7 linked regions of the Xenopus tropicalis genome follow. The protein of the gene in region 4 interacts with the protein of the main gene of each other region in a pairwise test. Links are inferred from orthologs where the notes say so. Each region holds a gene or a part of one and is shown on either strand. Other genes may lie near its edges.

Evidence for each region.
Region 1: the proteins of tax1bp1 (region 4) and dazap2 interact in binary tests that used the Homo sapiens proteins (3 or more experiments, as listed by UniProt). The two-hybrid records come from large-scale screens. The link is inferred for Xenopus tropicalis from reciprocal best matches to the Homo sapiens genes TAX1BP1 and DAZAP2.
Region 2: the proteins of tax1bp1 (region 4) and lgals8 interact in binary tests that used the Homo sapiens proteins (3 or more experiments, as listed by UniProt). The link is inferred for Xenopus tropicalis from reciprocal best matches to the Homo sapiens genes TAX1BP1 and LGALS8.
Region 3: the proteins of tax1bp1 (region 4) and map1lc3c interact in binary tests that used the Homo sapiens proteins (3 or more experiments, as listed by UniProt). The link is inferred for Xenopus tropicalis from reciprocal best matches to the Homo sapiens genes TAX1BP1 and MAP1LC3C.
Region 5: the proteins of tax1bp1 (region 4) and gabarapl2 interact in binary tests that used the Homo sapiens proteins (3 or more experiments, as listed by UniProt). The link is inferred for Xenopus tropicalis from reciprocal best matches to the Homo sapiens genes TAX1BP1 and GABARAPL2.
Region 6: the proteins of tax1bp1 (region 4) and cxxc1 interact in binary tests that used the Homo sapiens proteins (3 or more experiments, as listed by UniProt). The two-hybrid records come from large-scale screens. The link is inferred for Xenopus tropicalis from reciprocal best matches to the Homo sapiens genes TAX1BP1 and CXXC1.
Region 7: the proteins of tax1bp1 (region 4) and plekhn1 interact in binary tests that used the Homo sapiens proteins (3 or more experiments, as listed by UniProt). The two-hybrid records come from large-scale screens. The link is inferred for Xenopus tropicalis from reciprocal best matches to the Homo sapiens genes TAX1BP1 and PLEKHN1.

The regions. Positions count from the first base shown.
Region 1 is NC_030678.2:142,300,601-142,304,844, forward strand, and holds the start of dazap2 (DAZ-associated protein 2), read left to right. Parts: upstream 1-1,444; 5' UTR 1,445-1,481; coding exon 1,482-1,494; intron 1,495-4,244. UniProt on the Homo sapiens protein: In unstressed cells, promotes SIAH1-mediated polyubiquitination and degradation of the serine/threonine-protein kinase HIPK2, probably by acting as a loading factor that potentiates complex formation between HIPK2 and ubiquitin ligase SIAH1.
Region 2 is NC_030681.2:41,520,835-41,525,125, reverse strand, and holds the start of lgals8 (galectin-8), read left to right. Parts: upstream 1-1,491; 5' UTR 1,492-1,507; coding exon 1,508-1,519; intron 1,520-4,291.
Region 3 is NC_030681.2:57,421,675-57,424,404, forward strand, and holds the end of map1lc3c (microtubule-associated proteins 1A/1B light chain 3C), read right to left. Parts: intron 1,628-2,730; coding exon 1,468-1,627; 3' UTR 501-1,467; downstream 1-500.
Region 4 is NC_030682.2:42,559,769-42,563,268, reverse strand, and holds part of tax1bp1 (tax1-binding protein 1 homolog), read right to left. Parts: intron 1,894-3,500; coding exon 1,775-1,893; intron 1-1,774.
Region 5 is NC_030680.2:64,266,742-64,270,791, reverse strand, and holds the start of gabarapl2 (gamma-aminobutyric acid receptor-associated protein-like 2), read right to left. Parts: upstream 2,801-4,050; 5' UTR 2,792-2,800; coding exon 2,758-2,791; intron 132-2,757; coding exon 76-131; intron 1-75. UniProt on the Homo sapiens protein: Ubiquitin-like modifier involved in intra-Golgi traffic. Modulates intra-Golgi transport through coupling between NSF activity and SNAREs activation. It first stimulates the ATPase activity of NSF which in turn stimulates the association with GOSR1.
Region 6 is NC_030684.2:1,159,330-1,162,829, reverse strand, and holds part of cxxc1 (CXXC-type zinc finger protein 1), read right to left. Parts: intron 1,764-3,500; coding exon 1,654-1,763; intron 1,489-1,653; coding exon 1,388-1,488; intron 33-1,387; coding exon 1-32. UniProt on the Homo sapiens protein: Transcriptional activator that exhibits a unique DNA binding specificity for CpG unmethylated motifs with a preference for CpGG.
Region 7 is NC_030683.2:88,900,561-88,904,597, forward strand, and holds the start of plekhn1 (pleckstrin homology domain-containing family N member 1), read right to left. Parts: upstream 2,801-4,037; 5' UTR 2,713-2,800; coding exon 2,627-2,712; intron 1-2,626. UniProt on the Homo sapiens protein: Controls the stability of the leptin mRNA harboring an AU-rich element (ARE) in its 3' UTR, in cooperation with the RNA stabilizer ELAVL1.

The sequences.
Region 1 (4,244 bases), on a different chromosome or scaffold from region 4:
ACCATCTTCCCCTGACTTCTGACTCCTCCTGTTAGTCAAAACTGATTCAAAAGGGAAGATGCTCTTGCAATATTGTGCCTTTACATAGTATTGAAACTCTTCAGTGACTTATAATATCCCTTTACAATAAGGGGTATTTTTTCTCAATATAAATTAAGTAGGTGAAGGTGAAAAATAATAACCTTAAAAAAATTCACAATTTTTACAGCAGGTGCTGCTCCTAGACACCTTTGTTACGTAAAAATTTTTCAGCTGGGGGAGAGAAGTCCCAGCCAATAAGGCCAGTGCATTGGGGTTATTTGCAAAGGTGATGATAAGAAGGAAACACACAGAAATTACAGGAGAGTTGTGAGTTAGGTTCTAGCACTGCATGGGCTACAGTTCCTGTCAGGTCCAATAGTAGCATAGAGTAGTGAGGGTCAGTATCTGGGTGTTAAGGGGTCAATATAATAAAAGGTGCGAAATTTGCTTTAGGTTAGTGACCCACTGCAACCAATCAGCAGATAGAATTTACTGGTCAGCTATATAAAATCAAGAATCCGACTGGTTGCTATGGGTTAATTGACCCAGATGAACTTTGCATCCTTTATTACATTACCCAATGTATACCAATTCCATTATATACTGCATGCATGTAATATTAATATATTGACTCTAGTGACTAAGGCTGATGTTCCACTGAGCGGTTTAGTCACCTGCAATAGATCTCTGCTATCGCAGGCAACTAACTGTTCCAAAATGCATTTCCACTGGCAACAATAGGAGTTGCTTGTGAAAAGCCCTTCACATGGCTTTGGTATTCCAAAGTCATACAAAGTTTCCTCCAGCAGGCATCTTTGTGTGACTTATGAAAACTGAAGCAATGCAAGCAATGGCTTTCTACCGGCGTGGCTGGTGGATAGGCATTTCGTAGAGGGCAGTCACCCGCGATAACACAGATCTATTGTGGGCGACTAAACCACTCCGTGGGACATAAGCCTTTCCCTTTACCTGAAAAGAAACGTGTCAGCCAACCAATGACATAGCACCTACGTTTACAAGAAAAATGCATTCCCCAACAATGCAATTTTTTTACAAACAGCCCATAACCTGGACAACAGGGAAAGAGCTAAATTGATATCCTAGACCAGTGTTAATACAAAATGGTAAAAATCTGTTGATACAAAAGCAAGAAAATTTTACTCATTTCCAGTAAAGCAGCTACTATGTTACCTAATGGGCTAATTATAACCATAAGTTGTACCATTCCTTGGGTCTATGAAAAGCAAAATGCGTGTTTAGGCAAGCCAAAAGCTGCAGCCTGCAATAAAGCCGCGCAAAATGAAAGTGCAGGTAGGGGGCGCTGCTCAGCAGGAATGCGCTTTCGTATCTGCGTAGAGTGAAAAAACACAACAAGGAAGTAGATAGAAGCGGAAGTGGAATCATCTCCCACAACAACACAGAGAAAATACAGATCGAGCAAGAGACGTGAACCCGGGGCAATGAATAATAAAGGCAAGTAATGGCCCCTCCGGAGCTCAGCGGCAACTTCACTGTGCTTTGCGCTTGCTAGGGCTGTTTGTCCTGATCAGGATGCACCTTGGGATTGAGACTGCGACCTGGCGGAGCTGCTGCTGCTGCAAGGCGTTATGATGTCACTGATACCAGTGATTTGGGGCCCTGCTGGGACTTACTCTATAACCGAGTCCCTCTGCTTATTATTATTAGGAAGTATATGGTTTGGGTGGGTATATTCTAGGGGCGGGCTCTATTAGTCACTGAGCGAGTGAATATATATATATAAATATTAGGAATTCGGACGTATTATAGAATACGTTTATACCTTGGTAACCAGCTCCGGCTCCGTCCTGCTTGTGTGCGCACCGCTCTGACCGTGTAAGGCAGGGATTGTGTAACTCCTTGTGTATGTGCCTCGCTAAGGAACATCGGACGTGTCATTTGCCTTCCATTCCAGCGCTTTATAAAGGATTTAGTGGCAAATGGATCACTAAGTAGGCCAGTCGGCAACTATAGTACCATAGTTACATAGGGTTGAAAAAACACCAGAGTCCATCAAGTCCAACCCATCCAAGTAAATCCAGCACTTACAACCTATATTTACCAATCTATCATCAACCATGCCAGGCTTCAGGCTGATGGTATTTGTGCATGGCACTCTTGAATTAACAAGAACTCTGCTACTGAAGAGCAGTAATCCAGTAACAAAGTACATTTGTAGTAGAGTTTAGTACTGCACTGGAAACATTGTCTAATCAGACTTGGACTGGGATTTAAACCAGGCCCTGGCTTTTTAAATACACAGAGGCCCAAACAGCCCCCCTACACAACCCCCAATAAATAGTGCCTGTCTATATCAGTGATCCCCAGAGGCTCACATACAGCATGTTGCTCCCCATCCCCTTCCCTGTTGCTTCCAGTGGCATCAAAGCAGGTGCATATTTTTGGATTGAAGTCAAATTTGGATTGCATAAAAAAACAGAGCCTCCTGTAGGTTGCCAGTCCACATAGAGACTACCAAATAGCCATAGTGCTTGTGTTGCTCCCCTACTCTTTTTATATTTGAATGTGGCTCACTTTTAAAAAAGGCTGGGGACTCCTGGTCTATGGTATCTTACAGCAGCCCCTCTGGCATTTGCCAGAATCACAGATTGTCATTGTGGAACTGTGCCCAATTTAATGCTGCTGCACACCTGTGCATGGACAAATATCAGCCACTCCATATCGCTTCACTGCTTGGGGTGTTGAGCTTCCTTCTCCTTCAGAATAGCTTCATAAATATACATTTGATAAGGTGCAAAAACAATTTGCAGTTTTAACAAAGAGGAATTCCTCGCCCATTTTAGCAGCAAAAAGAGGAGATTGCATCAAATAAATTATTATATGGATGACTTTATGAAAGAATGTCATAATACTTGTTTAACTTTTTCATTGCAGAGGGGGTTGTTCTCTAATGATTCTCAAGGTCTTCCCAATGTTTCTGCCTATTCAGAGTGACATTCTTGAGAATCTCATACTTGAGACTTGAAGTTTTACAGTGCTTTTGATTTTATTGTTCTAGTCTAGAACCAAAAATGTTCTGCCTATTTTGAACTTGTTATGGGTAAAGAATAGTATTTTGTCTTTTTATCTTTGATTATTTCTGCTGAGCAAATTAGAGTGCTACTTTGTTCATAACTTTAGGTTAAAGAATAAGTAAACCTTTTTTTTCTATCAGTAAAATTACTCTAAACAGCCTCCAGAATTACCTACCTTTGTCCCAGCATTCTTTCTGACCTGGTTCCTCAGTTAGAAGTTGATAGTTTTTCTTTGCTTCCTTGTGCAGAGTAAAGCCCCGCCCCCACTTCCTGTTCAGTTCTCTCTTCAATTCGACTACCTGTAGTTGACCTGGAGAGCCTTCTGGGCATGCCTGGAGGCAGCAGTACGCATTCACGCTGCACTTCCGCATTCCCCGGTCATCGTCGATCACAGACGGAAAAGGTCTGGTCACCCATGAGCTAGCCATATTCTTAATGAGCTGCAAGTTGGAGTGATATCACCCCCCTCCCAGCAGCTGATCAGCAGAACAATGGGAAGGGAGCAAGATAGCAGCTCCCAGTTGGTATCAGAATAGCACTCAATAGTAAGAAATCCAAGTCCGGGTTGGGCCCCCTCCAGTTACATGGGAGTATGAGAAACAATAGGTTACCTGAAAGCAGTTCTAATGCGTAGCGCTGGCTCCTTCTGAAAGCTCAGACTGAGACACTATGCACTGAGATGGCGCCTACACACCAGAATTACAACTAAAAAAAATACATGTTGATCCAAGAATAAAATTTTAAATGGCAGAGTGAATTATTTGCTAAACAGTGTAATTTAGAAATAAAAAGTACACCACAAAATCTTTAAGCATGAAGTCTAGCATTCTTTAATGATGGCCTCTGAGTGACTGACCTGAAAAGTTCAAATAGTTACTCAGAGGCCAGAATATCATTGAAGGATTTTGGTAACCTTGGTAGGTAAGCAATACAACACAAACATATGCAGACTATAAAGACTATTGGATTCTCTGTGTTTCCTTTAGGCTGATTAAATATTGTTTTCCATCATCTCCCAAATCCCAAGTCAAATTGATTAGATGAGTCTGATTATAAGCCAAATTGAATTTTAATTGGTATATTAATATTTATCTCCAGTTTTCCCAAATTTTGCAGTTGTCAAAATTTCTGTTTGTGTGAAAACTAATTTTTTTCTGTTATGCAATCTTG
Region 2 (4,291 bases), on a different chromosome or scaffold from region 4:
GGGAAGGTGAAACTGCCCAGCACACAAATAAACACAGCAGCCTCTTCTGCCTGATAAAAGCCAGAGCCCCCTCAGCCCCTGACCCACTGAGCAGGAGAGGAATGCAGCCAAAGCCAATAGTTAACCCTTGCCTGTCACAAATGCTCCTCCCAGGACAATTAAACATCAAGGTAAGGCTGTGAGCTTGAGTGTAGCAGGGGAGATTGAAGAGTTAAGGGGGCGGGGCTTTATTCCCGGAGCAGAGCAGGCACAGCAATCAATTAAATGGCAATGCTGAGAAGCGGGACATCTAACAGTGAATCCGGGACAGCGGGAAGTGCCATAAATATCGGGACAGTCCCCCTGAAAGCTGGGAGGTATGCACCCATGTTATTCAACATAAACATTTACAGGTTGCACCCCCAACTGTCCCTTTGGGCACCCATAAGTTCTCCCAAAATGTCTCACTGTTCAAAGCACACACATTTGGTTGCATTTTACGCTACTTTATTATTATTATTTTCATTCTGGAGTAATCGGTGCAGTTTCCCAACCAATCAACTAGTCATCTCTCGGTAACCCCTGCATCTTGCGCCCTTATAACATATAGCGGTTCCCTCTTAAAATCGTGCTGAAATAGCTGCGACCACTTCTTTTGCGACTACGATCCCTCATCCCGCACTACCATTGCGAATGACCCAGCACAACACAGAGCAAGCACAGCGAACTGCCAACTGTCACATGATCTCCCAGCCTGCTCATGTGACTAAACACTTTCATTATGAAGGAACACTTTCGCTGGGCAGGAATGTGATGACTGGCGATGGATAAGCCAATCAAATAATGAGATAGTGACAATAGGCGTGGCCTTCCTTGGAGGACGGTGTGGGCGCTTTGAAAACCCGGAAGTGTATGGAATTTATTCTTTGCCACTGTACCACGATAGAATCTTGTCGGTACCTGTGCTGAAAAGGTGGGTGAAATGTGAATTGATATACCGGAAGTGCTTCCTATTTCATATTGTACTTGTGCCATTAGTGTTGTTGCTAGTGGCACTCACTGAGTGTGTATTACGGAATGACTAAAGTGAATTCTTAAAGAGAGCAGTTGCATACCTCCCAACCGTCCTGCTTTCAGGGGGACTGTCCCGATATTTATGGCACTTCCCGCTGTCCCGGATTCACTGTTAGATGTCCCGCTTTTTAGCATTGCCATTTAATTGATTGCTGTGCCTGCTCTGCTCTGGGGAATAAAGCCCGCCCCCTTAACTCTTCAATCTCCCCTGCTACACTCAAGCTCACAGCCTTACCTTGATGTTTAATCGTCCTGGGAGGAGCATTTGTGACAGGCAAGGGTTAACTATTGGCTTTGGCTGCATTCCTCTCCTGCTCAGTGGGTCAGGGGCTGAGGGGGCTCTGTCTTTTATCAGGCAGAAGAGGCTGCTGTGTTTATTTGTGTGCTGGGCAGTTTCACCTTCCCACCCCTAACATATATCTCTCACTCCTGGGAATCTCTGGCAGAGCACAGCATGCAGGGGAAGGTATCGCTCATTCATAAAATATAGCAGACATTTTAAAGGGGCCCTTATAAGTCTGAGAACCTTAGGCCTTGTTAATATGGCAAGAAATCATACCGCCCAACTGGCCCGCTTTCCGTGGGACAGTCCCGGTTTTGGTAGCGCATCCCGCTGTCCCGGATAGTTCCATGAATGTCTCGCATTTCCGTAATGCGGGACATTCATGGAACTATCCCTGACAGCGGGATGCGCTGGCTGTAGTCAGGCGTTCTTCTTCTGCAGAGGGTCCTCTCTATATGCGGCTCCTTGTTCGGCGGTGCCAGGCCCTTTTATAAGGTTGCGCCCATGCCCTTATAAAAGGGCCTGGCTCCGCCGAACAAGGAGCCGCATATACAGGTCCTTTTCAAAAAATTAGCATATTGTGATAAAGTTCATTATTTTCTGTAATGTACTGATAAACATTAGACTTTCATATATTTTAGATTCATTACACACAACTGAAGTAGTTCAAGCCTTTTCTTGTTTTAATATTGATGATTGTGGCATACAGCTCATGAAAACCCAAAATTCCTATCTCAAAAAATTAGCATATTTCATCCGCCCAATAAAAGAAAAGTGTTTTTAATACAAAAAAAGTCAACCTTTAAATAATTATGTTCAGTTATGCACTCAGTACTTGGTCGGGAATCCTTTTGCAGAAATGACTGCTTCAATGAAGCGTGGCATGGAGGCAATCAGCCTGTGGCACTGCTCAGGTGTTATGGAGGCCCAGGATGCTTCAATAGCGGCCTTAAGCTCATCCAGAGTGTTGGGTCTTGTGTCTCTCAACTTTCTCTTCACAATATCCCACAGATTCTCTATGGGGTTTAGGTCAGGAGAGTTGGCAGGCCAATTGAGCACAGTAATACCATGGTCAGTAAACCATTTACCAGTGGTTTTGGCACTGTGAGCAGGTGCCAGGTCATGCTGAAAAATGAAATCTTCATCTCCATAAAGCTTTTCAGCAGATGGAAGCATGAAGTGCTCCAAAATCTCCTGATAGCTAGCTGCATTGACCCTGCCCTTGATAAAACACAGTGGACCAACACCAGCAGCTGACATGGCACCCCAGACCATCACTGACTGTGGGTACTTGACACTGGACTTCAGGCATTTTGGCATTTCCCTCTCCCCAGTCTTCCTCCAGACTCTGGCACCTTGATTTCCGAATGACATACTTTGGACCACTGAGCAACAGTCCAGTGCTGCTTCTCTGTAGCCCAGGTCAGGCGCTTCTGCCGCTGTTTCTGGTTCAAAAGTGGCTTGACCTGGGGAATGCAGCACCTGTAGCCCATTTCCTGCACACGCCTGTACACGGTGGCTCTGGATGTTTCTACTCCAGACTCAGTCCACTGCTTCCGCAGGTCCCCCAAGGTCAGGAATCGGTCCTTCTCCACAATCTTCCTCAGGGCCCAGTCACCTCTTCTCGTTGTGCAGCGTTTTCTGCCACACTTTTTCCTTCCCACAGACTTCCCACTGAGGTGCCTTGATACAGCACTCTGGGAACAGCCTATTTGTTCAGAAATTTCTTTTTGTGTCTTACCCTCTTGCTTGAGGGTGTCAATGATGGCCTTCTGGACAGCAGTCAGGTCGGCAGTCTTACCCATGATTGCGGTTTTGAGTAATGAACCAGGCTGGGAGTTTTTAAAAGCCTCAGGAATCTTTTGCAGGTTTTTAGAGTTAATTTGTTGATTCAGATGATTAGGTTAATAGCTCGTTTAGAGAACCTTTTCATGATATGCTAATTTTTTGAGATAGGAATTTTGGGTTTTCATGAGCTGTATGCCACAATCATCAATATTAAAACAAGAAAAGGCTTGAACTACTTCAGTTGTGTGTAATGAATCTAAAATATATGAAAGTCTAATGTTTATCAGTACATTACAGAAAATAATGAACTTTATCACAATATGCTAATTTTTTGAAAAGGACCTGTATATAGGAGCCGCTGCAGAAGAAGAAGCAGCAGCAGCAGCATGTATGGAGGCTCTGTGTATTGGGGGGATACTGTGCATGGGGGCTACTGAGTATAGGGGGCAACTGTGTATGGGGGGGGGCACCTGTGTATGGGGGGGCTACTGTGTATGGGGGGCACCTGTGTATGGGGGGCTACTGTGTATGGGGGCACTGTGTATGGGGGGCAAAGCTGATACATAGTTATAACTCACTTATAACTGACTGCCTTCTCTCTATATTTGTATTTTATATGTAGGAGTTGCTATATTGGTTTTCCTTAGGTAGTACAGTATGAGGGTATAGCACATTTGCGTCTGATCCCGCCATTTCATCTATATAAAAGGAGTATTTTTTTTAAAAATGGGGTGTGGTAATTGGGGCGTGGCCAAAAAAATTTGCCGCGCTGCGCGCACCAAATCTTTTTGTCCCTATTTTCATTTTTCAAATGTTGGGAGGTATGCAGTTGCATTCTGTTAGGTTTATGCAGGGCCCCTAACCAAAATATAGAATAGCTGAAAGTCTTACATTTAGACATATGGGGCAGATTTATCAAAATGTGAGTTTAGAGCTTAATCCAAAAAACTCACCCACGTTCTATTTATTCCTGTGGGATTTTTAGAAGCATATTTATCAAATGGTGAATTCTAACTTTCACCCATTGATAAACACGCTTCTAAAAATCCCATAGGAATGAATAGAACGTGGGTGAGTTTTTATGACTCTACCTATAAAAGGCTCACCCTGAGTAAGGAATGTTTGATGTTCTGCAAGCCAAAACAGTCTCAACAGAGGGGGGGAGGG
Region 3 (2,730 bases), on a different chromosome or scaffold from region 4:
AAAAGGACCAGTGCACCAGAGATCACCCCTTTATATTAGAGGAACGGAACTTCCATTTGAAGCAGCGTAGGTGGTTTTTCACGGTGAGGTTGTGAAATGCCCTTCCTAGTGATGTGATGGCAGATTCTTTTAATGCTTTTAAGGAGGGCTTGGGTGAGTTCTTGAACAAAAATATCCAAGGCTATTGGGAAACTAAAATGTGCAATTAGTATTAATGTTGGTATATATACTGTAGTTTATGTATGCAAGTGTATAGATAGGTCAGTATAGGTGTGCGCGCTGGGGTTCGATGGAAAGATTTGAACTTGGGTTTTTTTTTCAACCAGATTTAACTATGATCTGTTCCTGTTTATAGCCAATACAAACCAAGCTATCCCACATACATACATACATAATCAGGCAGTATATCCAGGTGTTGGATTAATTGGTAAATAGGCAAATCAGTAAATTAACAATAACTATTTTTGACACCCTCCACAGTTAAATTAAGGCAGTAGTTATTTTATGAAGAGATTTTATTTAGCATTAGGCTGACTGATTTTGTGCAGTAACCTCTTGTGATATATGTAAAACAAAAACCTCTTGATTGGCCAGAGTTTTTTCATAAACACAAATACACTATTGCACATTGGAAATACAGAAGTAAAAAAAAAAACAAAAAAACAGCCAGAAAGAACCTAGGAACCTTACAGCCCACCCTGTCCTAACAGTGAATAACCATTTGTACTGCTTCAGGTGAAAGAAGGGATGGCTTCTTTTTTTCTTTTCAGTGTTAAAAAAAGTGTCTTCTTAGAAATTCTTCTTCCCCACAGAAAACAAACTCTTCTCTGCTAATAGCACGTGCCCATTAATTTTAGCTGCATGTTATTAATACATATACATTTTGATGTGGTACCCAAAGCTGCAATACATACCCAAGCCCAGGTCTTACAAGAAATATATAGAGGCAAAAGCATTCCGTCAATGCCCTTTCTATGCAGAGAGTACTTTATGCTTCTGCAGCTACTGACTTATACTGTGCAGAGCAAAGTCTGTTATACACAATAACCCCAAATACTATTTCATGTGAAGGGGAAGTCTATCTAAAAACAAAATTGTTCTAAGTTAGAGAAAACAGTTGTGTTTAGTACTACATAGAATCTGCAAAAAAATTCTGTAAAAATAAAATATTTTAAATCCTTTATTACAATAAATTTACAAAAGCATTATCTTTTGACTTTTCTAAAAGGATGCTCAATAAATATTTAACATACATAAAAGGTTCCTTTAAGTGAAAACATTTCAATAAAAAGTATTGTACACTATAGCCATATACTTCTAAGTTCCAGCCCATGTTATAATAATGACCAAAAATGTTTAAGGTGTAAATTTAAATAATAATATAATACTAGGGTCTAGAATTTACACATGTACATATCTGGGCCCCTCTTAGTACAAAGATTGTCCTCGTTTTTTTGTGATATGCATTCAACCAAACATCTCTTGAGATGCATATGTCATATATAGGAAACCATCTTCATCCTTATGGTCCCTATAAAGCTCAGCCATCGTAAGTGACATGCTGGCAAGGCTCTTGTTATTCACAAGAAGGTAAAATGCTTGTGTAGCAGATAAGTTCATGCGATTCCTGCACAAAGAAAAAACACACATTTAAAGATTTTTTTCTGTACCCAATAAGAATCATTAGTAGTATGGTAACAGTAATATAGTGGTTATGTTATAAAATGCCTTCACATTCTGTATAATAAATGGGTGTTTATATTTAACATACAAAAGCAAATATGAAGGGTAAAGAGGGCCCTGCCCAAAGGAGCTTACATTCTAAAAGCAGGAGGCATTAGGACACCCTGAATAGAATAGGAAAATAATATACATTTCTGCACCTGCCCATAGCTTCTGAGAGATTAAATGTGCATGCATGTACCCTGAATCAGCTCATTTCTGGTACAGAAGATAAACTTTCCACAGCATCTTTTAACTTATTTTAAAAGTGAATAATCATTCTGAATAACTCCTAAAGAGAAATCCTTCATAGTATATCTACATGCCATGGCTATACTTTTTTTTTTTTTTTTTGTTTAACCTTTCCTTGTCCTTCAAGAAATCTTTCAGAGACAGAGATTCAACAAAATATGGTAGAGAATTCCAGAGAAGGGGTACAGCTCTTGCAAAAGTATTGAATGCAAGGGTGCGAGGAAGTAATGAGAGAGGTTATCAGGAGCAGGTCATTACAGCAGCATAGCAAATGGTTTGGCAAGTATCTGGAGAGGAGTTCAGAGATGTAAAGTGGGGCAGAGTTATGGAGTGCTTTAATTGTGAGGGTTATTAGTTCATATTTTATTCTGAATGGTAGTGGATTTGCCGGGTTTGGCAAAGCAGAGAAAGAATACTTACTGAGTGGTTGGAAGGCCAATTAATCAGTACTGTAATCACCGTGATATGCTGAGAGCATGGGAGAAGTGCAAGTTGGTTAGCATAGTAATAAAACAACTTGCCTTCCTCTCACCAAGAGTCCTTTCCTATGTCACAGTTCCTCCAGTAAAGGTGCAGGGAGCTGTTGTCTATCCCCAAATACTTTATTAACTCTTGTCACACCAGTACAATCATAAATATCACAATTTTACTTGTCACACGTCAGTTCCAATTCTCAGTAGGAGTTTTTTTATAATAACAGTTCCCTTCAGTTAGGTTACCACTTTTCATATTCGCCGCCAAAACTGGATCCACACT
Region 4 (3,500 bases):
ATGAAGACCAATTGCATATTGTCTTAGAATATTATTCTCTAAATCATAATGAAAGTTAACTCAAAGGTGAACAGCCCCTCTAACTTTTATTACGATGTAGAGTGAGATAGACAATTGCACTGCAATTAATTTTAGCACTCATGCAGTGGTTTGAATGAGAGACTGTAATCTGAATAGGAATGGATCTGAATAGAAAAATATGTTATTCAAAGCAGAGTATGGCACACACAGGCAGGGTAGGGCAGGCAGGGTATGGCACACAGAGGCAGCGTAGGGCAGACAGAGTATGGCACACACAGGCAGGGTAGGGCAGGCAGAGTATGGCACACACAGGCAGGGTAGGGCAGGCAGGGTAGGGCAGGCAGAGTATGGCACACACAGGCAGGGTAGGGCAGGCAGGGTAGGGCAGGCAGAGTATGGCACACACAGGCAGCATAGGGCAGGCAGAGTATGGCACACACAGGCAGGGTAGGGCAGGTAGAGTATGGCACACACAGGCAGCGTAGGGCAGGCAGAGTATGGCACACAGGCAGCGTAGGGCCGGCAGAGTAAGGCACACACAGGTAGGGTAGGGCAGGCAGAGTATGGCACACACAGGTAGGGTAGGGCAGGCAGAGTATGGCACACAGGCAGCGTAGGGCAGGCAGAGTAAGGCACACACAGGCAGCATAGGGCAGGCAGAGTATGGCACACACAGGCAGGGTAGGGCAGGCAGAGTATGGCACACACAGGCAGGGTAGGGCAGGCAGGGTAGGGCACACACAGGAAGGGTAGGGCAGGCAGAGTATGGCACACACAGGTAGGGTAGGGCAGGCAGAGTATGGCACACACAGGCAGGGTAGGGCAGGCAGAGTATGGCACACACAGGCAGGGTAGGGCAGGCAGAGTATGGCACACACAGGCAGGGTAGGGCAGGCAGAGTATGGCACACACAGGCAGGGTAGGGCAGGCAGAGTATGGCACACATAGGCAGGGTAGGGCAGGCAGAGTATGGCACACACAGGCAGGGTAGGGCAGGCAGAGTATGGCACACAAGCAGCGTAGGGCAGGCAGAGTAAGGCACACACAGGCAGCATAGGGCAGGCAGAGTATGGCACACACAGGCAGGGTAGGGCAGGCAGAGTATGGCACACACAGGCAGCGTAGGGCAGGAAGAATATGGCACACAGGCAGCGTAGGGCAGGCAGAGTATGGCACACACAGGCAGCGTAGGGCAGGCAGAGTATGGCACACACAGGCAGTGTAGGACAGGCAGAGTATGGCACACAGGCAGCATAGGGCAGGCAGAGTATGGCACACACAGGCAGCATTGGGCAGGCAGAGTATGGCACACACAGGCTGGGTAGGGCTGGCAGAGTATGGCATACATAGGGCAGGTAAAGTATGAAACAGGCAGGGTAGAGCAGGGCAGGCAGAGTATGGAAGGAGACCGGGAAACCTATCATGTTTATGTAAGTAATTAATCATGATCACTCCAACATCAACAGTTTGTACTGAAGTTCATATGGTGACACAATACCACCACTGCTCCTACAGTTTGTATGAAGTGTGAACAATGTGGGAGCCTACAGTCTGAGGTCTTACAGGTGAGTACAATTCATGGGCTCATAGGTGTGAACAATACAGAGTGGTACAGGTGTGAATAATAAAGGGAATTGCAGGTGTGAACAATACAGGGGATTAAAGCCTGAATGTGTGGCGTGAACAATGCAGGGGGCCAGTTAATCTCAGAATATAAAAAAGGTATTGTTTTAGCAAATAATATTACACTTACAGCCAGCATTTGCTTACACTTGCGATATTTTTCTGTTTTTTCAGCCATTTCTAAGCTCATTTCCCGCACTTGCTCTCTAATGTCAAATTCAGGTAAAGAATCAGAAGTAAACGGACTCACTGGAGGAGAAACACAAAAGCCATCCATTAGATTTCTTTCAAACACATTATTAAAAAACTAAATAATGTTTTCACAAACATATATTACTGTAAGTGTTTAGTCATGAAGCATCTTTAATCTGTTAGAGATACATTTTAGTTGTACTCATGTTATGAATAAAGAGCAGGCAAGTGGTTAGGTGACCATTCTGTGATGATAAAAGCTGTTTAGTTAAAGTCCTGTGCTGTTGCCAGCTAAATAGCTCCTATATAGCCACAACCTGCTACCAGACCCATGAGGGTTTGAGCTAACTGCGGTTTGTTTGCAAAGCTTAAGAAAAGGATGACTCTTGGCTCCTGCAAAACAATCTTTATTGGTGCCCCTGTGCTTTCCTGAGTCAGAATGTGGAGTTTAATACTGTAAAATAGTCTGAACTAAAGTACAAAGAGTTAGGGATCTAGAGCATCCAGTTATTGTTCATTGCACCTCATTCTCTGTTTACATGCCATCTAAAATGTTGTTTATACATGTTCAACAAAGCCTGGCAACTGCTCTCTGCCTACTTGGTTTAAACACACTGCTTCAGTCTCAGGATAGACAATTCTTTACTACTCCGTAGAACTTCTAGTAACAAGGGGCTTTGCCTGCTATGTTTTTTAGTGTTCAAATACATAGGGGCAAATCAACCTCCACCTCCTAAAGGTGATAGAATAAGCCTGGGGATGGCTGGGAAACACTGATGCAGCTGGATGAAGAGCTGGTGCTAACGCTTTTAGATGATTGCTCTAGGTGCTATTTTGGAAATATTACATTTAGAAATCATCTTAAAACCATTAAAATGTTTAATCAATGGATATTGATCACTATAATTTATATGCAGATACCCAAATATACCTTTCTTCCCCAGACCTGCCCTCGCTCCTAGCTCGTGTCTCCAACTGTCTAACCGCAATTTCTGCATTCATGTCCTCTCACCACCTAAAAATCAACATGGACAAAACTTATCTGGTCATCTTCCCACCCTCCAACTCCGTTTCCCTGCCTGACAAAAATATTAATATAACCCCAGTTCCACAAGCTCGCTGTCTAGGAGTCACATTTGACTCTGCTCTCTCTCGGTTCAACCTCAAAAACATTGCACGCATTCGACCTTTCCTCACTCATGAGGCCAAAATTCTCATCCACGCCCTTGTCATATCTCGCTTAGACTACTGCAACTCACTGTTCCCCACTCCAATCCATCATGAACAGTGCTGCCAGACTCATACACCTCTCCTACCGCTCCACAAGTGCTGTCCCTCTCTGACAATCCTTGCACTGGCTATCTCTCACGTACAGGATTCATTTCAAGATTCTTGTACTCACCTTCAAAGCACTCATTGGCCGTACCACTCTATTTAACCACCCTAATCACCAAGTACACCCCCAAACGCAACCTTCGCTCCACACATGACCTCCTTCTCTGCTCCTCACTCATCACCTCCTCTCACTCTCGCATCCAGGACTTCTCATGTGCTGCACCCATTCTCTGGAACGCTCTTCCCCATCCCATTAGGCACTGCCAGACTCTCCAAGCCTTTAAACGGTCTCTTAAAACTCACCTTTTCACTGAAGCCTATAACCTAAA
Region 5 (4,050 bases), on a different chromosome or scaffold from region 4:
TGTAGCTTTCATAACAACAATTACAGTCTGAATAGGTAATCATTCAAAAAAGAAAAGCAAAATAAAAGAGGTTACCGGAACCCGATCTGGATACTTGGCTCTGATTTTTGCGGACTCCACACACCTGTGTTCTGAAATAGGAAAATTTAGGAATGTTATTTTAAAAAAAAGTATTTGTGCTTATAGTATTCAGTATCATTTTCACTTTGTTTACTTCCTTACCGTCAACAGCAGCCCATTCATGTCTTATGAGTAATATATCTATATAATGAGCTACTTGTTTTTGTACTATTTATAGCTGGCTACGAACGGGCTTCAGGGCCTTCTGTATGCAGGAAATCAACATGCAGATCATGTGGTGGGCGACATTTACAGCAAAGATACCTATTTCTAGCCAGGAACATATACCGGTAGTTCACTGACACTCAGCTCTCCACACTGACATGTTTCATTCTTGATTGGGACATTAATGTGTTGTTCATTAATATTACAGGAAAATACTGTAAATTGGTGTTAACTACAGTAAAGTTATGGGATCCGTTACCCTCAAACTCATTCTTTAGAAAGTACCAAATTACGGTAATCTCCTTTAGACTCTATTTAAAGGACATGCAAAGCCTACATTTGCCTACAATGTACATCAGTTGGGCACGTCTCCCCCACCCAAATGGCATTATTTGTACAGCATGTATCCCCTCCACTTGCCAGCACCATCACATTTTCCTAAAGCAAACAGCAGTTTTCACCCGGTGGCCATTTTTCCTCTGATACATAATGAGTTACATTTAAATCTGCAAACAGCAGACACAGACCCTTATTCAGCATACATTTCATCAAGAATACAGGTTCTGATAAAAGTTCTGCTTTGTTTGAGCACTGTAATGGTAAAGCTGAGCTCAGGAGAAAAAAACTGAAGCAGCCAGCTAGAGCTGAGTTTCTATGGGAACCAGCAATGCCATCTCTTCACTGGTTGCTAGACTGGAGGGCATGTTTAGTAATCTGAGTTTAGAACAACTGAGCATGCCCACAAGCCAGAAATTAAAGCAAATTCCTGAGGGAGGGGGCTGAGTGGATTACAGGAGGAGAAGGAAATATAAGTGTTTATGGAGATGTTGCAGCCTTACTATTAACCTCTGGACAACCAGAGTGGCAGGTATTGAAAGATTTCAAAGAGGCTGTTTGTGCGGGGTTTACATGTCCTTTAAGGCAAATAATTTATTTTTTAAAAACGATTTCTATTTTCCCTGCGATAATAAAACAGTACCTTGTACTTGATCCCAACTAAAGATGTTCTATTGGTTAAAATAAAATTGGATTTTTTCTTTACAAGTGGCAGGTGTGCTTGCTGTTTCTGCTTATCCTTGCACTTCCCCTACAGCTATGGGTTGGGAATAATGCAACCAGGCCACTCAAAAATAACTGCGAGTGCACTCTATTCCTAAATTATTTGAAATTAATTTGTATCGGCTGGCCTGTGAGATTGGGACCTGGGGTTTATATACACGGGACAATCACTTCATCAGGTAATCTGATTCCCATGTCTAGCCCAGGGTTGTACACATCCAGGCTATGGAATATTCATGGTCAGCACTTATTAGTTTATTTTGAGAACTGAGCCGCACTTAGATTGATTGCTTGATCCCAACATATCATATTGGGTTTATTTCATATTTAAAAGATTTTTTAGTTGACTTTAGGTATTAAGATCCAAATAACAGAAAGACCCCTTTTCCAGAAAACCCCCAGTCACAAGCATTCTGGATAATAGGCTCAACACATGTATGGGTTCTTGCTATGCTAAACACAAATGGTGCACAAAGATAAAAACAAACCAATCCTCAAGTCCTTTATGGAAAAACTTTTTCATATTTTGTTTTTTTAAGACAGGCCTTTGCAAGGACACTATAGGTATTCTTTGGTGTTCCACAAGTAAAATAAAAAGAATACATTTTTCTTTATTCCCCCCAACAGCTGAGCTGGTAAAGCAAAGCTGGAAGTAGTTGTGTAATTTAGTACCAATGGTTGTAAAAAAAAACAATATAGAGTAGAAAGGGATGTGTGGTCAGGAAAGTTAAAAGCAAAAACAAGCATATGAGTGACAAGGTGGAGCAAACATACCATAACCTTTGGTAAGCAGTTAGGTATTTGTTGTTAAATATTACACATAGGATATATACTGATAAACATTACTGAATATAGCTGCACCCATTTGGTGACCATATAAAATAGTGTAGAGGCAATTTTGCTGTTTTTTGTTCAAACTGACCTAACCACCATTTCAATGCAATTACTGCCACTTGGACCTATTTACAATCTGATGTCTCATGACAAGAGTTTTACAAAAACTGCAGCATTTGGAGCTCAAAGCACAATTCCATGGGCTCTAGGGAATGTTATTATAGATGTGACTGAGAAACTGAAGTTGATGAGATCACGGTTGATTAATGAGAAAAAAAGGGCCAGGGTTTATATGTTTTTATCTTTCAGAGAGATAAACACACTAATGGTAAAATAAGGTTAGAGGACAAAGCCTGGGAGGGTACAGTCAGTACCAACAAACAAACTGCGGGGGATGGGAATAGTCGCTACTAGATGGAAGGGCAGCGCTACGAGGTGTAGCCTGTGCCTATAGGGCGGGGGCGATGAAGGTGGGCTAGCAGCGACCGCTTTAGAGTATACAGAGGTAACTTCAGGTAGTGTTGCCAGATTAGTACAGTAAAGGTAATGGGCTACCCCCCGAACTTTCCCCGTTCTCACCCAGCGAATGGTCTTCCTTGAACATCCACTTCATGGTACCGACAGATGACAGCGACGACAATAACAATAAGGCGGAGTCTCCCGATGACGACACTTCCGGGTCAGGGCGCCCTGGGGTTTCCAGTACCTCCCATTATGGTTAATAATAAGCACATGGGAGGGGTTTCGTCGGCTAAAACAGGAGCAAAACAAAAACGTATTTTCCGTGGGGTTATAGGGGTTAAGCTGATGCTGAACTGTAGTGATCAGTCGCACAGTAATGTTTAGCAGCAATCAGCTTATTCTTCGTGAAAAATATCATAGCGACTTAACCCTAGAGGTTCCTCTGGTTATTTTGAATGCGAAATATTTGTGTATGAAAGTCATCTCCTATTTATCCTCCACAGAGATGACAACTAACCCTGTGTAAATGGGGTAATAATGTTGCAATCATGAATGTTTCTTGTTTTTATTTTTTTTTGTTAACCAAGCATTGGAGCAAGGGAACTTTGGAACTTGAGTGGGCATTTACTAAACGTTTCTGAGATTTATTATGTGACAAAACTGACAATTCCAAATGTGAAAAACACTCCTGCTAAAACCTTTCAATATACAGAAGTCAGTGGCAGATGTTCCTTTTACAACTGAAAGATCTTGCTTTGCTTCCTGGTTTTTGGGGGGTTTTGTCACTGATATTTTTGTAACAAGTCAAAAAAGTTGCGGTTATTATGCGAAAAGTCAAAAAAGCTGTGGTTTTTGCGACTTTTTCCAGTTCAGATCTTTTTATAAATGACAGGAAATGAGTTTATTCATGGTTTCTTTAAAATAAAAATAAATGTTTTAGTAACCACCCCTTAGATGACACTGTCATTTATATATACTTGCTTGTTTATTTTCGATGTAAGTCGGTTTGCCTGACGCAAAAGAAAGATAGAGAGCGCACACCTGAATAAGTATTATGATAAGGTGACCAGATTTTGAAAATGAAATCCGGGGTTAACGTAATACAAAATTTTTGTTTTGTGCCACACCCACTTAATGTCACGCCCACAAATGTCAGCCTCTGTATAGTTCCTCAGCTGCACTATAAATGTATGTGTAACCCCTATTTGGCTGTAAAAACAGGCAGCGCCGGCTAGAATGGCTTTAGATCATGGTGTACATAGGGCCCTACACGTCAGATGGGCTTTTGCTAAGTGGAAATATCCTTGGATATAACTGTAACTCACTTATGTTGTTTTCAAAGTAATTGGAAAGAATGGACACCAGAAGGTTCTTGCTAATGAAACAAACAGTAACTGATTTATTTGTCCT
Region 6 (3,500 bases), on a different chromosome or scaffold from region 4:
TCTGTATTTGATCTCAAGGTGCGGGTGTTTGTCTGGCACGTGGGCAAAAGGCACACCTTTATATATTTCTACTGCCTCTAACCCCCACCGGAACTGCCCCCCACATCCCCCGCCCCTACCGGCCTCTAACCCCCACCGGAACTGCCCCCCACATCCCCCGCCCCTACCGGCCTCTAACCCCCACCGGAACTGCCCCCCACATCCCCCGCCCCTACCGGCCTCTAACCCCACCGGGAAACTGCCCCACACATCCCCCGCCCCTACCGGCCTCTAACCCCACCGGAACTGCCCCCCACATCCCCCCGCCCCTACCGGCCTCTAACCCCCACCGGAACTGCCCCCCACATCCCCCGCCCCTACCGGCCTCTAACCCCCACCGGAACTGCCCCCCACATCCCCCGCCCCTACCGGCCTCTAACCCCCACCGGAACTGCCCCCCACATCCCCCGCCCCTACCGGCCTCTAACCCCACCGGAACTGCCCCCCACATCCCCCGCCCCTACCGGCCTCTAACCCCCACCGGAACTGCCCCCCACATCCCCCGCCCCTACCGGCCTCTAACCCCCACCGGAACTGCCCCCACATCCCCCGCCCCTACCGGCCTCTAACCCCACCGGAACTGCCCCCCACATCCCCCGCCCCTACCGGCCTCTAACCCCCACCGGAACTGCCCCCACATCCCCCGCCCCTACCGGCCTCTAACCCCACCGGAAATTGCCCCCCACATCCCCCGCCCCTACCGGCCTCTAACCCCACCGGAACTGCCCCCCACATCCCCCGCCCTACCGGCCCTCTTAACCCCCCACCGGAACTGCCCCCCACATCCCCCGCCCCTACCGGCCTCTAACCCCCACCGGAACTGCCCCCCACATCCCCCGCACCTTACCGGCCTCTAACCCCCCACCGGAACTGCCCCCCACATCCCCCGCCCCTACCGGCCCTCTAATCCCCACCGGAACTGCCCCCACATCCCCCGCCCCTACCGGCCTCTAACCCCCACCGGAACTGCCCCCACATCCCCCGCCCCCTACCGAGCCCTCTAACCCCCACCGGAACTGCCCCCCACATCCCCCGCCCCTACCGGCCTCTAACCCCCACCGGAACTGCCCCACATCCCCGCCCCTACCGGCCTCTAACCCCCACCGGAACTGCCCCCACATCCCCCGCCCCTACGGCCTCTAACCCCCACCCGGAACTGCCTCCCACACCCCCGCCCCTACCGGCCTCTAACCCCCCACCGGAACTGCCCCCACACATCCCCCGCCCCTACCGGCCTCTAACCCCCACCGGAACTGCCCCCCACATCCCCCGCCCTACCGGCCTCTAACCCCCACCGGAACTGCCTCCCACACCCCCCGCCCCTGCCATAATGCCCCTTGGTGCTTACCTCGGCATTGCACGCAGTACCACTCTCGTATGGCCTTTGCCATCTTCTCGGTGATGTTGATGCAGTGCCCGTGGAACCATTCGTTACAGTTGTCACAGCCGCTGCCGAGAGACAAACCAGGATAGAGATCAGGCTGCAGTGGGCACGGTGTCAGCTTAGGGGCATTATATGGGCTGTTAGTGGCATTAACGCCCCCCCTGGCTAGATGAGGGGTGCATGTTGCTATGGAATGACCCCCCCCCCAATCACACACGTGTATTTCTCACATCATGAAGCAGTTGATATCCGGCTTTCGGCAGATACAATACACCGGGGCGTTCTCTCCATCCTCCGTGTCCCCGGCCGCAGTCAGGTCCGCGTCTGAAAATTCACTCTCCTGGGGCAACAAAGAACCCCCCCATCAGTAACTGCCACAGTGGCTGTGCCCTATCCCCACTACTATTTGTACTAAGGGGATCAGGAAGGGAAATGTGCCTGTTGCAACATGGGGAGGGGGGGGTCCTATTCCTCATAGATTGTGAGCTTCTGAGTATCATTCCTTCCCATGGGCAGAGTGTCTTTACCCTTTCCATCTCTTGCTTCTACCCTAAAAGGTGCCAGGCTGGCATAGTATAACCCCCTGTTCCCGTGGGGCCCATTAGTACAATGCTGGGGGGGCAGTGCCAGTGTGACACAGTATAACCCCCTGTACCCGTGGGGCCCATTAGTACAATGCTGGGGGGCAGTGCCAGTGTGACACAGTATAACCCCTGTACCGTGGGGCCCATTAGTACACATGCTGGGGGGCAGTGCCAGTGTGACCAGTATAACCCCTGTACCCGTGGGGCCCATTAGTACAATGCTGGGGGGGCAGTGCCAGTGTGACACAGTATAACCCCCTGTACCCGTGGGGCCCATTAGTACAATGCTGGGGGCAGTGCCAGTGTGACACAGTATAACCCCCTGTACCCGTGGGGCCCATTAGTACAATGCTGGGGGGGCAGTGCCAGTGTGACACAGTATAACCCCCTGTACCCGTGGGGCCCATTAGTACAATGCTGGGGGGGCAGTGCCAGTGTGACACAGTATAACCCCCTGTACCCGTGGGGCCCATTAGTACAATGCTGGGGGGCAGTGCCAGTGTGACACAGTATAACCCCCTGTACCCGTGGGGCCCATTAGTACAATGCTGGGGGGGCAGTGCCAGTGTGACACAGTATAACCCCCTGTACCCGTGGGGCCCATTAGTACAATGCTGGGGGGCAGTGCCAGTGTGACACAGTATAACCCCCTGTACCCGTGGGGCCCATTAGTACAATGCTGGGGGGCAGTGCCAGTGTGACACAGTATAACCCCCTGTACCGTGGGGCCCATTAGTACAATGCTGGGGGGCAGTGCCAGTGTGACACAGTATAACCCCTGTACCTGTGGGGCCCATTAGTACAATGCTGGGGGGCAGTGCCAGTGTGACACAGTATAACCCCTGTACCTGTGGGGCCCATTAGTACAATGCTGGGGGGGCAGTGCCAGTGTGACACAGTATAACCCCCTGTACCCGTGGGGCCCATTAGTACAATGCTGGGGGGGCAGTGCCAGTGTGACACAGTATAACCCCCTGTACCCTGTGGGGCCCATTAGTACAATGCTGGGGGCAGTGCCAGTGTGACACAGTATAACCCCTGTACCTGTGGGGCCCATTAGTACAATGCTGGGGGGCAGTGCCAGTGTGACACAGTATAACCCCTGTACCCGTGGGGCCCATTAGTACAATGCTGGGGGGGCAGTGCCAGTGTGACACAGTATAACCCCCTGTACCCGTGGGGCCCATTAGTACAATGCTGGGGGGCAGTGCCAGTGTGACACAGTATAACCCCCTGTACCCGTGGGGCCCATTAGTACAATGCTGGGGGGGGCAGTGCCAGTGTGACACAGTATAACCCCCTGTACCCGTGGGGCCCATTAGTACAATGCTGGGGGGCAGTGCCAGTGTGACACAGTATAACCCCCTGTACCGTGGGGCCCATTAGTACAATGCTGGGGGGCAGTGCCAGTGTGACACAGTATAACCCCCTGTTCCCGTGGGGCCCATTAGTACAATGCTGGGGGGGCAGTGCCAGTGTGACACAGTATAACC
Region 7 (4,037 bases), on a different chromosome or scaffold from region 4:
TACACAACACTAAAATTCTATCGGCCATCTAGGAATATCCAGTGCTCCAATGTTTCCCTACTTGGCCTTCAGGCTGAAATTCCAAGAATATCTAAAACAGCAAATAAGCATTCACCCTAACTAGCCTTCAGACTGCCCCCACAACCAATGCCTTGGGTTACCTGGGGGCAGCACAACAGTTTGTGAATTTATGAGCTAATCTGAGCTTTATTAGATAGAGAAGCCCCTGAACAAAATTTTAGCTATTCCCTTTCTACATTTAATGATTTTTGATTGTCACTATGATGCAGGGAATTGTATGCCAGTCTATGTAGAAGTAACTGAGCAGGAGAGGAGATGTGATTTACCCAATGCTTGCTATAAAGACTTTAAACCCAGAACTGCACAGCAGCAGTAGGCACGCCAAAATCTCTCCGGCTCTGTGCCTGCCAGGGCAAGCCATATTCTGCTGGCTGGACAGAATTCCATGTCTTTCTGCGCAGTCTCATGCTTCTGATTAAATACTGCACAGATAAACCTCACCTATGTCTCAGCACGAAACTCATGTTCAGAAAGTAGGGCACAGTCAATTAAAAGAGCCTTGTAACTAAATGCCATTAGCAAAGAGAAATAAATGAACCATTTCAGATCAGAGTTTGCAAAGACTATTTATATAAGCAAGAGCATCTCTACAAAGAATGTATCTTTCTACTATGCATTTATAAAGGGAAACTAATTTTCTCATTGTATGCTGCTGCTTATATCAACCAAACATAAGAACCTCTGTGACACTGGTAGATGAATACAGAGGACCAGTAACGCAAAAAACATAAATGTCTTATATACATTAGTATGTAAAGCTCAATACTACACACACAAAAAAATGAAAAACATGAAAAGAAAAATGGGACAGCTCCATGACATCATTTTTTATGTACAGGAAAAGTACATAAAATGTAACAAAAATGTTGCATAAATGCATATGGTGTTCTTCATAACCAGTTGTGGAATTAGCACCTCTAGTGGCCATTTCTGTTGTTTTGTCTCTTGGCCACTACAACTGATTGAAATGATCTGCAGTGTACACTAAAGCAGTCTATATGTTTAGAACTGACACCAAGAGGATGATCGTAGACCTAGGAGAGCTGTAGTTCAGTATTTGATGACATCTACATGTGCAAAAAGCAACTTTTGATTTCTGTGAAAAACCTACTAATAGTTAACACCATAAATTCCTTATTCTAAATACCCATCCCTCCATCAGATTGTGTCTCATAGATATCGCAAATGAAACAGTCCCAAGTGGACATTTGATAAAAACCATGCACAGTCACCCAAGCCAACAAGGAAACATGTAGACTTCGCTTAACTGTGATTGTATTAATATAATATAATTAAGGAAAACTATTCCCCCATCTCTACATTAATTATACAATCTCTTGGTGGGGGAAGGACTTCTGCCCTAGGGTGTTAACTGTAAACCACTATTCATTGTGCCTGAAACTCAATTACAAACTTTTGACATGGTAAATATGTTATCTCCCCTAACACCAAAATGCCCAGTAACCTTTTCATCCAGATCAGGTCATGCTGTGCAGGATCCCTTTACTGTAAGTCACTTAGGAAATAATCACATCTTCCAGGTCTCATGGTATGTATGTTATATTCAACAAAAACAAACTCTGCAGTAGCACAAATAAAAGAAAACTTTATGAGACCAACTCAAATGGCCACTATAACTACATTTCTAATAGATCTGTTGTAATAAAAGCAAGGAAGATCTCACATTCTACTCCTTGGGACACAGAGCAAGTATAGATCATTTAGTATCCCACCCCCCAATGCCTCAGGCACATAACTGCAAGCTTTATTTGATAAACATACAGGTTTAGGGTGAATTATCTTGAGAGTTCTGAAATATGGGAATGTTATTTTCCACAGAGTCCTATTCAACCTAACAATCTTACTTTTGTCTGATATCCTTTTTCTCTGTAATTCTAAAACAACGCCTTGTAAATCCATCTTGGTTACAAACAATCCTATTAAGACAACCCTGGTCCTATAGATATATATTGTCCTCTATGTTTTGTGTTTTATAGTAAACTCAAGGAACGGTGCTCCACATTATAGAAACAGCCCTTCCTCTTCTCCAGGAAACTACGGCTCCCAAGCATCCCATATAATAAATCTCAAACATGTACCTAGTTTCTATATGCAGCACTGGAAAACCAGTTAGATAATGAGATCTAATAATATTATCAGGGTACCTATGAAACTGATCACTAAAACAGCCTCCTGTATTTCTCCTGGCAGCTGCCAGCACTGCAAACACCACATGCCCAAAGCATTACCCCCCTTGGCTCCTTCCAAAGCAATGAAGCACATGGCCACCGCTTCTAAAAATATGCAAGGGACACAAAGTCCAATGTACACCGTATCATATACATTGCCCAGTTTTCTGCAGGCAGCCTCCCTCTCTTAAACAGAATTACTGCAGTATTAGTAAATGAATATCCCAGGAGCACATACACACATTCCATAAATAACATACATTCTCCACTTGTTCCACTATAAACGGGTTCTTTCAGGTATATTTATATACAACAGCGTTTGAGAGTATGAAGCATACTGGGTTCCATAGACTTACTCTTTGCCCTGCTGCCAGGAGTTCTTCCTGCTAAGAGAGTATCTGATGTGGCGATGCGGCTGCGGGACACAGCTCAGGTTCCCCATCCTGTTCCCTCGAAGTCTTTAGTGAGACTGAATTGCCTGTGTGCTGGGAGCGCTCACCTCACCCCTCGCTTCCGCCAGCATGGGGACGAGTGGGTGTTACCGGGCTGTGAGTAAACACGGCAAGCGACCTTACAATACAAGTTATGCAAAACGTGTTGGGGAATGTGTGACACATTGTGGGATGGGGTGTCCCATTCATTCTTCCTTATCTCATTTGTCTGAGGGTTACCAGTGGTTGTATCAGAGAGAAATAGTAGATTTTACGTCTGAGGTGATGCAGGGCATAGTTATGACACAATAAATCACAATTTATGTCATTGTTGCCTTAATATAGTGTCGTTTTCTATGTTGTATCTCAGAGTCTCTAAATAGCTGAGGTAATCATACTAGTGTGTATATTAAGATATGATACAAATTCAAATAAAGTGTTAAAAAGTATTTATTTGTTAATTTTTTCAACTTATTTGTTCCCATTGTGCCAAATTTAGAGTAGGGTGGTAAATCTACTTTAGTGTTTGTATAGTTACTTTTGTGCAGGGGTACTTATGATGGGGGATTAGTTAGGTTAGTTGTGGCTTCATATAGTTGCCAAAAATGAACCATTTTCCAATGATAAGCATAGCTGTAAATATCCTGCCAATTATTGGCTGTCCCACTTGATACTGTTTTTTGGGTGGCTTCTAAGGGCTGAGACACACGGGGAGATTAGTCACCGCATGACAAATCTTCCTTTTCACAGGCGACTAATCTCCGTAAAATGCCATCCCACCGGCTTCAATGTAAATCACCAGTGGGATGGCATACGCAGCGCCGCGATTTGCCGAAGTCGCGGAAGTTTCCTCTCAAGGCAACTTCCACGATCTCCGCAAATCGCGGTGCCACACATGCCATCCCACCGCCGATTTAGAATCTAGCCGGTGGGATGGCATTTCGGTAGATTAGTCACCCGCAACAAGGGAGATTTGATGTGCGGCGACTAATCTCCCTGTCTGTCACAGCCCTAAGGGTGAAGACACATGGAGCTACTAGTAGCTGCTACTTGTAGTGGCTACTAAAATAGACAATGCTAATCATTTACTGATAACAGTCTCAGCATGTCTTTTAACAGAGGCAATTCTCAGTATTGTCTATTGTCTATGGCAGGGTATTTTTTGGAATTTAGTAGCCATGAAAAAGCAGCTGCTACTAGTAGCTCCATGTATCTTCACCCTAAGGGCAAACACACACAGCTACTTAGTAGCAGCTACTTGTCATGGCTACATCAGAAAATACTCTTCCATAGACAATACTGAGAATTGCCTCTGCTAAAACACACATAGAGACAA